Linked DNA regions of Caenorhabditis elegans. The protein of the gene in region 2 purifies or fractionates together with the protein of the main gene of each other region. This does not show direct contact. Each region holds a gene or a part of one and is shown on either strand. Other genes may lie near its edges.

The links.
Region 1: the proteins of rha-2 (region 2) and bud-31 fractionate together in Caenorhabditis elegans (co-fractionation; one large-scale study listed by BioGRID). This does not show direct contact.

The regions. Positions count from the first base shown.
Region 1 is NC_003281.10:9,693,984-9,698,382, forward strand, and holds bud-31 (Protein BUD31 homolog), read right to left. Parts: upstream 2,535-4,399; 5' UTR 2,140-2,534; intron 1,368-2,139; 5' UTR 1,362-1,367; coding exon 1,275-1,361; intron 1,225-1,274; coding exon 1,151-1,224; intron 1,105-1,150; coding exon 822-1,104; 3' UTR 685-821; downstream 1-684. Other genes in the region: set-3 (SET domain-containing protein 3), read right to left, coding at 374-588. UniProt on the Caenorhabditis elegans protein: Involved in pre-mRNA splicing process.
Region 2 is NC_003281.10:8,609,110-8,616,510, reverse strand, and holds rha-2 (Putative ATP-dependent RNA helicase rha-2), read left to right. Parts: upstream 1-1,941; 5' UTR 1,942-1,954; coding exon 1,955-2,027; intron 2,028-2,070; coding exon 2,071-2,228; intron 2,229-2,291; coding exon 2,292-2,389; intron 2,390-2,436; coding exon 2,437-2,734; intron 2,735-2,798; coding exon 2,799-3,214; intron 3,215-3,286; coding exon 3,287-3,451; intron 3,452-3,497; coding exon 3,498-3,975; intron 3,976-4,024; coding exon 4,025-4,197; intron 4,198-4,240; coding exon 4,241-4,743; intron 4,744-4,807; coding exon 4,808-4,983; intron 4,984-5,065; coding exon 5,066-5,238; intron 5,239-5,307; coding exon 5,308-5,872; intron 5,873-6,276; coding exon 6,277-6,447; 3' UTR 6,448-6,629; downstream 6,630-7,401. Other genes in the region: C06E1.11 (uncharacterized protein), read left to right, coding at 301-616, 674-1,062; C06E1.9 (ASCC2 family CUE domain-containing protein), read left to right, coding at 6,739-7,164. UniProt on the Caenorhabditis elegans protein: Probable ATP-binding RNA helicase.

The DNA.
Region 1 (4,399 bases), 1.1 Mb from region 2:
TTTTCGGCTATAATAATTTATGTTTTTTCCACTTTTTTTCGCGAAAAAAATTATGAATTATCGGTTTTAATGCAATTTTAGAATTTCAGCAAATCTCCTTCTGGTTGCCAAGTTTCTTTACGAAAGGATGTCTGAAAAATTTGTAATAAAAAAATTATCAACACCAGATCATTAATTTGCGCGGAAATTCAAAAAGGATTGAGCCAATTTTTTTTCCAAAATTGATTGAAACTGTTATATTTAGTATATTGAGACTTGACGGCGCATATATTTTCAAATTTCACAACAATTTGTCGTGTCGAGACCGATAAATTGCAAAATTTTGCTTCTGGAGAGAAATGTTAAGTTGCAATTTTCACGACGAGCTACTTACGCAAATGACGCATTTTCGGTTATTTTCAGACATCGATAACAATTTTGTGGATCAACGTTCACGGTGATTCCCGTTTCCACACAGACAACAGTTCCAATAGGAATATCTTCGATTGCTTCTACAAATCTTCCACGTTTTTTGTCCCATTTGACCGTGACTTTGTCGCAGAGCTGTGGGAAATGTTCATTTGACCGAAAAGACGGAACTTCCACCATTCTGTGAATTATATCGGGATATTAACGGTTGAAGCAGATTTTTAAAGTATGAAAGAAGACAAGAAACTTTAAAAAAAATCATTTTAAGAATCGTTATTCAGCCTTCCAATTCTTTATTTCAATTTCAGTGAGAACGTTATGTATTTTAAGAAGAAAAAAAAAAGAATAAATAAAAAAGTTCAGGGAACGGGGGATTCACAAAACCTTGATATGAGAGTATATAAAAATAGAGATCATCCAGAGCAACCATGACATCCACAATGAACGCATTCGATAACACGCTCCGCATCAAGTTTGCTTTTTGGAACTCGACAGATGCACGCAGTGCCGAAATTACTGTCTCGAGTATTCACACATTTAACGCAACACAGGTTCTCGTATCCTTGCTTCTTCCATTTCGCGATAAGTGCTGCGTCAGCGAACTTGGCGGTTAAGCAGAATTCGTACAATTCACGGGAAATTTCAGCTTTCTTGTAGTACATGTCATAGACGTATCGTGATCGTTGGTGATGAATTCTGAAGAAAAAGGTACAAATTTAAATCAATTAATGGTTATTAATACCTGAAAATCGGCCAGTTAATTTCAGTTTTTCGCTTTCCTTCGTGTGGTTCTGTTTCGGCTTCACGCATTTTCGCCTGAAATATATATTTTTGAAAAAGTTGTCCGAAGTTAAAAGAAGACTCACTTCGAACTGTTCTAGTGTGGGCTCGATCAAATCCCATCCCTCTGGTGGAGACTTTCGAACTCTTCGTAGTTTAGTGGCCAGTGACATTTTGAGCTGAAAATGAAAATCTAATGAGAAATGAACAAAACGAAAGGAAACAATGGGAAGGAATTGAATAATTATGTGAACAAATATATACGGAAAGTATTAAGTTCGATAGGAATCTAAAATTGATTCTTTTGCCCTTTAAAATCGAGAGAAATTAACCTGAAAACACAAAAAAAAGCCTCAAAAATAAACATATTTTTCGAAATGAAATTTGGTACGCAAACACCACACCGGACGAGCATTGTGCGTCAAATGTGGTGTAGAGTGCAGAATTTGAAATTGTTTCCTCTAAAAATTGTTTTTTCATTTTCTTTTTATTTTTCTCGACGTTTCGTATGGATTCTTTTGATTTAATTAATTTCTTTCTAATTATGAATTAGATTAATTATCGGATTTACTGAAATAATCAGCAATCTTCACGCACTTTCTGAAATTGACTTTAACTTTCGATCCAAAGCTTTGACTTCCCCCGGCAATTCGAATTCTTCAACCATTTAGTACTTTAAAACTAATTCTTGTTTGTTCAAATAGCTAAACGAGGTAAATGCTAGCCAATATGTTATCAAACCGCAACAAACTAAGTCAACTCGTGAACTATCGCTTATTGTATGCACAGGAGGGTCTCTCCGTGAGTAGAACGGTGTCCAGCCATTATAGCAAGTACAAGCCGCCACTTTTTTTCTCTTTTATTGATTTTCCGAATGATTCTTTATCAAGAATTATTTTCTTCAATAGAAAATTGGCAGTTACTAGATCGTTACTTTTAAATTTGCCTCACCGTTGATATTAAAATTATACAGCGATGTTTTCGAAAATCGTGACGTCACACGCGTCCTTGAAATTTTGAAGGCCGAGCGAGCTGTTTATTCGGAGCCGGATTAGTTTTTAGGATAGAAGGTCAAACGAATATTTGAATTTAGGCCTGAATTTTTAAAATAATAACTTGAATTTGAACGAGAAAGCCTTTCCTTTCCTAACTATATTTTCAATCTTCGATTTTTAATTTCTCCATCATATCCGCGTGCTCCGTTAGTAATCTGCTAATTATGATGCATCTGGTAGGTTTATTGAGTCTAACAAAGGTCAATTCCGAAGGGTTGCTCTCTTTCCTCCCTCTCTTTGCCACTTTATCGTTTGTTTGCCGTATGTGCTCTTGTGTTGATGCGTTATTTTCTAAAAATGTGTGAGGCTTTGTGATTTCTATATTTTAAGATTCATGAATATCATCAGCTCGAATAGGGTCCGTTTACACTATATTACGCATTCTTAGGTATCAAATACAGTTTTAATGCACTTTAATTGTATTGCGCGTTGTTCGGTGTCAGATGCAGTTTTAATGTATGAAGTTTAATATTTATTACTTTCTTATTTGAGAAGTGAATTTTTAGTTTTAGTAATGGACTCAAAATGATCTAAAATTTCGAAATTCCACAAAAAAATCAAGAAAGATCCAACTTTCGCTTTGCGGTTCTCATTTTAAAGCGAATTCGAACAATTCGCCGAAATCTTTTTAAAAAATCGGTTTTTTAAAAGTTGGATTTTTCAATCTTTCTCTACTTTTTTTCGTTGTTTCTGATAGTGAATCTGAGACTAATTGTTTTAAAAGCAAAGTCACATGTCACACTCCTCCATTTTTAAATTTCTTCAGGGCTCACAGATAAGTAGATTTTTTTTAATGTGACGTCACACGCGTCCTTGAAATTATGGCGGCACTCGGTACTGGGTACAAAAAAGCATTCAAATATTTTTCCCGCCATTTTTCAAAATATTGGAGTCGCTTTCAAGGTCAGTCACATCTATAAAATGGGCGGAGCTAATACGTTTACATAAATTAGTTTCATTGTGTATCATTTTTTGGAATTATAGGTTTTTACAAATTTTTAAAAAGTTTCTTCCTCGAACCGTCTATAAAAGAATATACAAAAAAAAACATAGAATCGAGCAAAAAAGTTGGCATTGAGAAAAAAATAGGGTAGTAGTAGTGCATTATTCTCTGAAATCAGAGCAGTCTCTAACTTTTCCATCTCGTCTATCTGCACCGTCCGTACGGAGCATGATGTCTCTTGCCTCCTGTTGCGGTCGTCCGGTCCTGAATGGCTACTTGGATGCTGCTGCAACTCCGTCTGCGCCTATTCTTCGCTTCTTCATCTATCGTCTCTCGTTCACTTGCGCTCACTTGCTAAATGATGGCCGATTGCAATGTATAACCTTCGTTGATCATCGTCTCTTCGCTCGTCACGCTCTCTGTTTTTTGTCTCCCACTAGGCCTTTGCCTCCTACTCTCCCAATTCACATTTATACACGACACAAGATGATTTGGCGCCTTTTTTTTTCAAAAAATGTATTTTTTTTGTTTCTACGATCCATCACCCATCGCCGATACAAATTTTTTTCTATTGGAAGTGTATTATAATTTGATTGTAGTTTTAGATTCGACATGCATTTTTTGAAAAAAAAAACTTGCTTCGCTTTTTTTTTAAAAAAGAGTTTCGTTTTCACTGTTCTCTTCTTCTTTTCGAAATACTCCGTAGTTTTCCTCTCAAAAATTTTCATTCGCTAACTCTACAGTACCACAATTTCAAATCGCATAGTTTCGCGCGCGCGCAGGTCTCGCCACGAACACAGTTAGTGAAGAGTCTCATGCAAAAACAAGCACATATAGTTCATTTTGTCTACCGCCCCAAGAGTCGTTGTTTTCGATTTTTTTTGCGTCGTCTCTTCTACTTTTTCATTCCTCGATCAAAAGAGAAGAAGTGTGGGTTTCTGTGACGCAGGAGGAGATGGCATTGTTGGCCGTATGTTCCTTATGATTTGTATCGATTAGTGTGTGTATGTGTGTGAAAGCAGTCAATGAAACAACGTTGCCCTCTAGGCCCCGCCCATTTTGCCCTGTCGTTATTTATTGTCCATCGTGTTACTTTCCTAGTTAATAATCATGTTTCAGTGATGACGGAGGTTTGAATAATAGTTATTTTAAAACATTTGAATTTAACTGACGTACTTATAATTTCAAAGAGAGTAGATTTTGCGGATTGTTT
Region 2 (7,401 bases):
ACAATAAAGGGAAACCCACAACAAATGATCAAAGTGGTAAATCGGTGAGTTTTAAAATCTCCTTTTCTAAAAAGGAATCTTTTTTTAAGAAGAATTATAAAAGTTGAACATATACCTTTTTTTCTTTGTTAAAATTGAATACTCAAATTTTCTGAATAATCCGACTGAATATGGAATAAAAGGAGGCGTCACTGCAATAAGAAGAAATGCGGTCAAATATTTGATTAAAACCTCGGGTAGAAAATCAAATATTTTGAACATTTTCGACAAAACTAAAATATCTTCTCGCGGAAATCCGAAATGGTGGATCAGATTCGATCGCCCTCATGGAAAAGTGGATTTCCATCACATCAACATCAACAAGGCAGTTACTGGACTCAAGGATCCACATCTTCCTATCTCTCCACTGCCAAAACTGCTGGAGTTCTTGGAGATGTTGCTGAGAAAGCAAATAAAATTGCTCCAATTTTGACGACTGCCGCTGTGATTTACGAAATGTATCAAGTTGGAAAAGAGGTTAAGAAGGATTATCATCACGGAACCACACGAAATACTATAAAAACAGTGGCAACCACGGCGACAACTTATGCAAGTGCATCTGCTGCAGCATTGGCCGGTAAGTGTTGTAATTTTAAAAGATTCAGTAGAATTTTTTACAAAAACTTTATTACAGGAAGTTCCATCGGATCGGCAATCTTTCCTGGTATTGGAACGATTTTCGGAGGAATCATTGGTGGAATTGCCGGGGGATTATTCGGTGGACATGTTGCCGAGACAGCTTCAGAACAAATTCTAACTCACGTGAAATATGATGTCACAACGTTAACCTGTAAAGAATGTGGAAAAGATTATGATTGGAAGAAGTACGAAGAAGCACAAGGAGTTTGTAGCTGCCAACTTCAAATTGTTCTGAGCAACGACGCTGCTACCAAATTATGTGCAATTTTGGCGGAAAAGATTCAAAGTCCATCTCAAACTTCAAATTATGCATTTAATTCTTACCTTTGTTATTATTATCTTCACATTTTCGCGTGTCTCAACAAGATTTTGAATCATAAATAAATTATTTCTAGAAAACAAACACTCAAATTGAAATGGCAAGAAGTGCAGATGAAAATTCAAATGAGAGAAATAAAAAGAGAAAAAAGAAAAAGAAAGAAGATGAAGGGAACATGGTATGGAACAATTATTAACAATGCTCACAGAAACAATTTAGTTAACTCAAGATCCAGCTGGTGCAGCAGTTCACATATCATCAGCTGGAGCTCAAACAGCTGGAACAATTGGCGGAGAGGGTCTCACAACGATCGCGCAAGCTGCTCCAGTTTTACAAGTTGCTGCAGTTGAATACGATGCTTATCAAATTGGGAAAAACGTGGAAAAAGATAAAAGGAGAGGGACAAGTAGGAATACTGTTAAGAAAGTGACCACTACAGTAGCCACGTACGGTATTGGATTTGGTGGAGCACTTGCAGGTGTTCTTTCCATTTAAATCTGAAATTTTGAAGAAGCTGAATATTTTAAGGTGCTGCAATTGGAACTGCAATTTGTCCAGGAATTGGAACTATTGTTGGAGGGATTGTGGGTGGTATCACAGGTGGAGTTGGTGGTGGATATGGTAGTGGTAAAGCAGCAGAAGCTGTTATGGATCAAGCAGAATATGATTCGTACAGAACTACATGTGAAACATGTCAAAAACTATACAGATGTTCCAAATACATTGAAATACAGATGTTCCAAATACATTGAAATTTATTAAAATTTGCTACACTGAAAACCTTTATTCAAATCTCCGCCATTAAAACATTTTCAATTTCGATAGAGCGCACTTGCATTAAACTCATTTTACTGAATTTTTCGCTCATTTTTCATATTATTTTTCTTTCTGAATTTGTTTATAACCACGCTTCGAGCCAGAAAATGTTATTTTTTCATTATTACAGAATTTAAAAACATGGGAAAACGCAAAACAAAAGAAGATAATGCTTCGGAAGACTACGACGCGAACGAGTTGATGATTGTGCCGGGTATTTAATCGAAAATTAATTTATCGCTTACATTTACTTTCAGGCGAGAAGCGTAAGAAATTGGAAAAATCTGGAGAAAAATCTGCAACTGGTGGAAAGAAGAATAGAAATTTCGCGAAAGAAAAAGAGGTTGCCAAGCTGACGAAGCAGGCGAAACGAAAACTTGCGGCGGTTCAGTCAAGGAAAGCGCTGAAGCAAACGGTTAGTGAATTATTTTTGTATTTGAAGTATTCAAAAAAAAAACTATAATTTTCCAATTTACAGCAAGAAGAACTATTCGCAGGACTTGCTGAATTTCAACTAGATCCTTCTAAGCTCTGCCAACTAAGTTCCAGCACAAAACTTTCTAAAGAGCCAGAAAAGTACGATATTTTTCTATCACATAAAAAAAGCAAAATTCAATTTTCAGAGCTCCCGTATTTCCAGAAAAATTAAAAGTTTTCTCTGGCAAAACTAAAACTGAAGCTAAACGAACTCAGCAAGATTATTATCCAACTGATGATGAATCATCTTCTGAAGAAGAAGAAGAAGAAGAAGAAGGCGATAATGATATTGAAGATGCCGGAAATACAGTTGAAGTTAAAATTGAACCAATTGACTTGGATGATGTTGATGAGGCAATTGATGGAAATCCAGAAACTAATTTAGATCAGATTGTAGTAAAACGGGAAGATGATGAAGAGTCTGATAATGAGGATATTTTGGCGGTTAGTTAATAAAATGAAATAAAATGAAAATAAAATGAAATAGGAAGATTGTCTATTTTTTCAGCTCCCAACTACGACAGTCATTAATCGAAAGAAAGTTATTGTTGAGAGAAGCAAAGAAATTCAAAAATCCCGTGCCGAACTTCCAATTTTTGCCGAAGAAATGCGAATTGTCGAAGCTATCAATGAGAATTTGGTGACAGTAGTCTGCGGAGAGACTGGATCCGGAAAGACCACCCAAATTCCACAATTCCTTTACGAAGCTGGATATGCATCAGAAGGCGAACTCATTGGAATCACCGAACCTCGACGTGTCGCAGCAATTGCAATGGCTCAGAGAGTTGGAGTTGAATTGGCAAAGCCCGACGAAGTTTCCTATCAAATCAGATATGAAGGAACTCGATCAGAAACAACAAATATTTTATTCATGACGGATGGAGTGTTGATGAAGGAAATGGAACAGGATGTCATGCTGAAAAAGTTTGATTTTTAATTTTGAAAAAATCTCCATTCAGATTTCTCGCTGAACATTAAACGTTCATTATTTTCCAGATACTCTGTAATTCTCATCGATGAAGCCCACGAACGCTCAATGTACAGTGACGTGTTAATCGGTATGCTGTCAAGAATTGTTCCACTTCGTTCCAAAACCGCCCGTCCGTTGAGATTAGTAATCATGTCTGCAACACTGAGACTTGATGATTTCACGCATAAAAAGTGAGATTCTGAAGCGAATTCCAATTAAACTTTATTCAAAATTTAGGCTCTTCCCTCTTTTAACTCCAAAAGTTATCAAAGTTGACGCCCGACAATTCCCTGTCTCCGTACATTTCGAAAAACGAACTCCCGATGATTATATTGCATCTGCATTCCGAAAAACGTGTCGAATTCATGAAACTCTACCACCGGGTGCCATTCTAGTCTTTGTTACAGGACAACATGAAGTTAAACAGCTGATTACAAAGCTGAAAAAACGATATCCGGTGGTTTATGAGACTGATAAAAACGGAGAGGTTCTAGTTAAAGGAACCAAAGAATGGAAGGAAAAGAAGGTAGAAGCTGCCAAAAGTATCAAGTTAGAAGATTTTAAAGAAGAAACACCGGAAACTGAAGATTTTGAAGATGTAGATGATGGATTAATGGATGGAGATGATATGAATGAAAGAGGTGCTGCTGAGGCGTTTGATGATTATGAAGAATTTGAGAATGGGGATGGAGATTTATCCGATGGAAAAGTTGAGGTAATTTTTAGAAAAGTATAGAATTTTAATCCAAAAATTTATATTTTAGAACTCGATTGGAGCTCCACCTGCTGACTGTGAACCACTTTACTGCTTACCTTTGTACTCATTACTCTCAATGGGAAAACAGAGAAGAGTGTTTGATGAAACTCCGGCTGGAATGCGTCTTTGCGTTATTTCTACAAATGTTGCTGAAACTTCATTGACTATTCCAGGCGTGAAGTAAGAGATAAATAATTTATAGAATAAAAAAGCTAATTTCCAGATACGTTATTGACGGAGGTTTCGAGAAGCGTCGTCTCTACGATTCAATCACCGGAGTGTCACGTTTTGCAGTTTGTCGAATTTCTCAAGCATCTGGTGATCAGCGAGCGGGACGTGCTGGAAGAATCTCTGCAGGACACGCCTATCGTCTCTACTCTTCAGCTGTATACCAAGATTTTGTGAAATTCGCAGATCCTGAGATTCTCTCGAAGCCTGCCGATCAGCTAGTACTCCATCTAAAATCGATGAATATTGTTAAAGTTGTCAATTTTCCATTCCCATCAGCTCCTGATGAGCAAATGTTGGAATCGGCTGAGAAGCGTCTGTGCCGACTTGGAGCACTTTCTGAGAGCACGAAAAATGGAAAAACGGAAGCAAGAATCACGAAACTCGGAAAAACATTGGCAGTGTTCCCACTGGCACCGTCTTATGCAAAATTCATTGCTATGGCCGATCAGCATAATTTGATGAGTCATGCGATTCTTCTAATTTCATTACTATCAGGTTAGATTTATTTTTAATATTTTAAGTGTTAATTTATAATATTTGTATCATATGCATTTTTCAGTTCGTGAGCCCCTAATCCCAGTATCATCCCTCCGTGGCGACACGCCAGAAGAAACAAAAGAATTGATGAAGAATGTTCTGAAAGAAAGAAGAAGATGGTGTTCACATACTGGTGCCAGACGATTAGGTGATCTAAAAGTTCTCATGCATGCAGCTAGCGTTGCCGAGCAGATAAAGGTACATCTGGATGTGCAAACATATTAATTTTCACTATTTTTCTAATATTGCGAAATATCCCGTAACATTGTGATCATTTCAGTATAACGCCCGTGAGTGCGAAAAAGTCGGTCTCCGAGTGAAAGCACTGGTTGAAGCAAGAAAACTACGTCAGCAACTCACAAATATTGTTAATGCTTCTTGTAAAAAAGAACATGCGGCTGCGTTGGATTCAGATCTGCCGCCACCAACTGATCAACAGGCACAGCTTCTCAGGTATTTACTTTTTTAAAATTAAACATTGAGAAAAGTGCCCACTATAGAAAACAACTTTATGAATTTCAGACAAATGGTTGTTGCAAGTTTTTCTGATCGCCTGGCTCGTCGCGTCGATCGTTCTGTCGGACAAGAAGAAGTTCAAAAAGGTGCATACGAGACGACATTAATCAAGGGACACGTTTTCATTGATCCATGCTCAGTCGTATTCACAGAAGAACCAGAATTTGTGATCTATCAAGAATTGGTTCAAGTAAATGAGAAGAAGCTGATGACGTCAGTGTGTGCAGTTGATAAAGAATGGCTCAGTAGATTGGCTGAATCATATTGCAATTATGGAGAACAGGACAAGAATCAGGAACCGATTTACGATCCAGTCAAAGATATGGTTGTGAAAACAGTGAAAGTGACATTTGGACCGTTGAATTGGGAATTGCCGAACGAAAATCGAAGTGTACCACATGATATCATGATGTATAGATATTTTGCACTATTCCTCCTCGATGGATTGGTTTTTGAAAAACTCAAAGAATATACTCCGAAGCTACTAGCACCGCCATCAACAATGGTCAAGTCTTGGGCAAAATTGCAGAAACGAACGGAGATGTTGTTGAATAAGTTAATCGAGAAGGAGGTAAGCAGTACAGAATTTCAGATCAAATATTTCAGCTTTTTCTTTCAAAAAACTGAAATTTAAAAAATATATAGAAAAATGTACAAAATGTCTACAGTTTTCAAATTTTTCTTTTACTCGACTGCTCGATTTTCTGCAAAAATAATTTCAAAATTTTCAAGCCATTTTTCTATTTTTTAAAAAATAATTTATTTATCGTCTGGGTTATATTTAATTTTCAATTTCAAAATGTTTGTCTTCTATGAAAAAAAAACGATTAAAAACCTTTTTGTAGATTCCTAAATCTTTCTAAAATTGAAAAATAAAAATAAATTCATTTTTTCTGAAAAAAAAAACACCAGAAAATCGAAAACAATTTTTTTTTTCGAAAACATTGTTTTTGTTTTTTAGATTTCCTTTTCCAGGTAACAACGCGATCATCACTGAAAGAGCAATGGTTGAAAAATGAGAATTGGTTGCTGGAAGAATATTTGGAATGGGTTCCAGAATCCGTGCATCAACAAATTTCCCTTATGTGGCCACCGCTTGAAGATCATGAAAAGACTATTAAAATGGGTAGAAACAAGAAATACTAAACAAATTCTCGTTTTTCTATCCTGAAAATATTATTTTTTTTTGTTTTTTTTTTTTCATTAGTATCTGAATTGTTATACATATTTTACTTGTTACTGTTGCTTTTGAACTTCTTTTTTTTTTTTGAAAAATATTTGCGTTGTTGTTTTTATTGTTTTAGTGAAAAAATATAAAAAGATCAATTAAACATTTTTTAAAGTTCCATTTGTTTTAAGTCGTCTTGGAAATTCGTTTCAAATACTTTCATTTTTTTCAATTTATTTATTAAACTCAATTTTTCAGTTATTCAAAAAATGCGTCTAGTAGAAATTGGAGCACTTTCTGCCGATTCGGATCTAGTTCTATGGGAAGCTAGTTGTGAAACAATTTCCCATCAAATATCTCTGAAATTAGCTCGAAAGGAAGGAGGTCTCATGGAAATATTCAACTCTGTTGTCGCATCACTACCAAGAAAATCGGATTCCTTCAGATTCTCGGCGATTTCATCGAAAACATCGTGGGAATCAGCTCACCGAAATTTACTAGAAAATTTGACGAAAACCGTGCCAGTTTTATTGGAAAATGGATGGAAAAAGAGTCCGGACTTTCAGAAAAATAGTCTTATTGATTTGTTCTCATTGTTGGAAGATGAAGATGCGACAAGAATTTTCAAAATGACACAAGAAAGTCGATCAATTACGGAAGATGATGTAGAAGATTATTTTTCTATGTTTGATAAGGTGAAAAACATAGTATTTTGGAGAAAATTATTTATTAAAACATATTTCCGCTTGTAAAAATGCTAAAAAAGTTTTAGTTTGTGGACAAATTTAGACTAAACGATTGCCGCTTTTTTTCGATGTGTTTACAGAGCAAATCATATAACTGAAATTTTCGGTTTTTTTTCGAAACTCGAAAAAATGTAAAAATGTACGAAATGAAATTTCCCTGAAATTTCCTAAAAATTTCGTTATAAC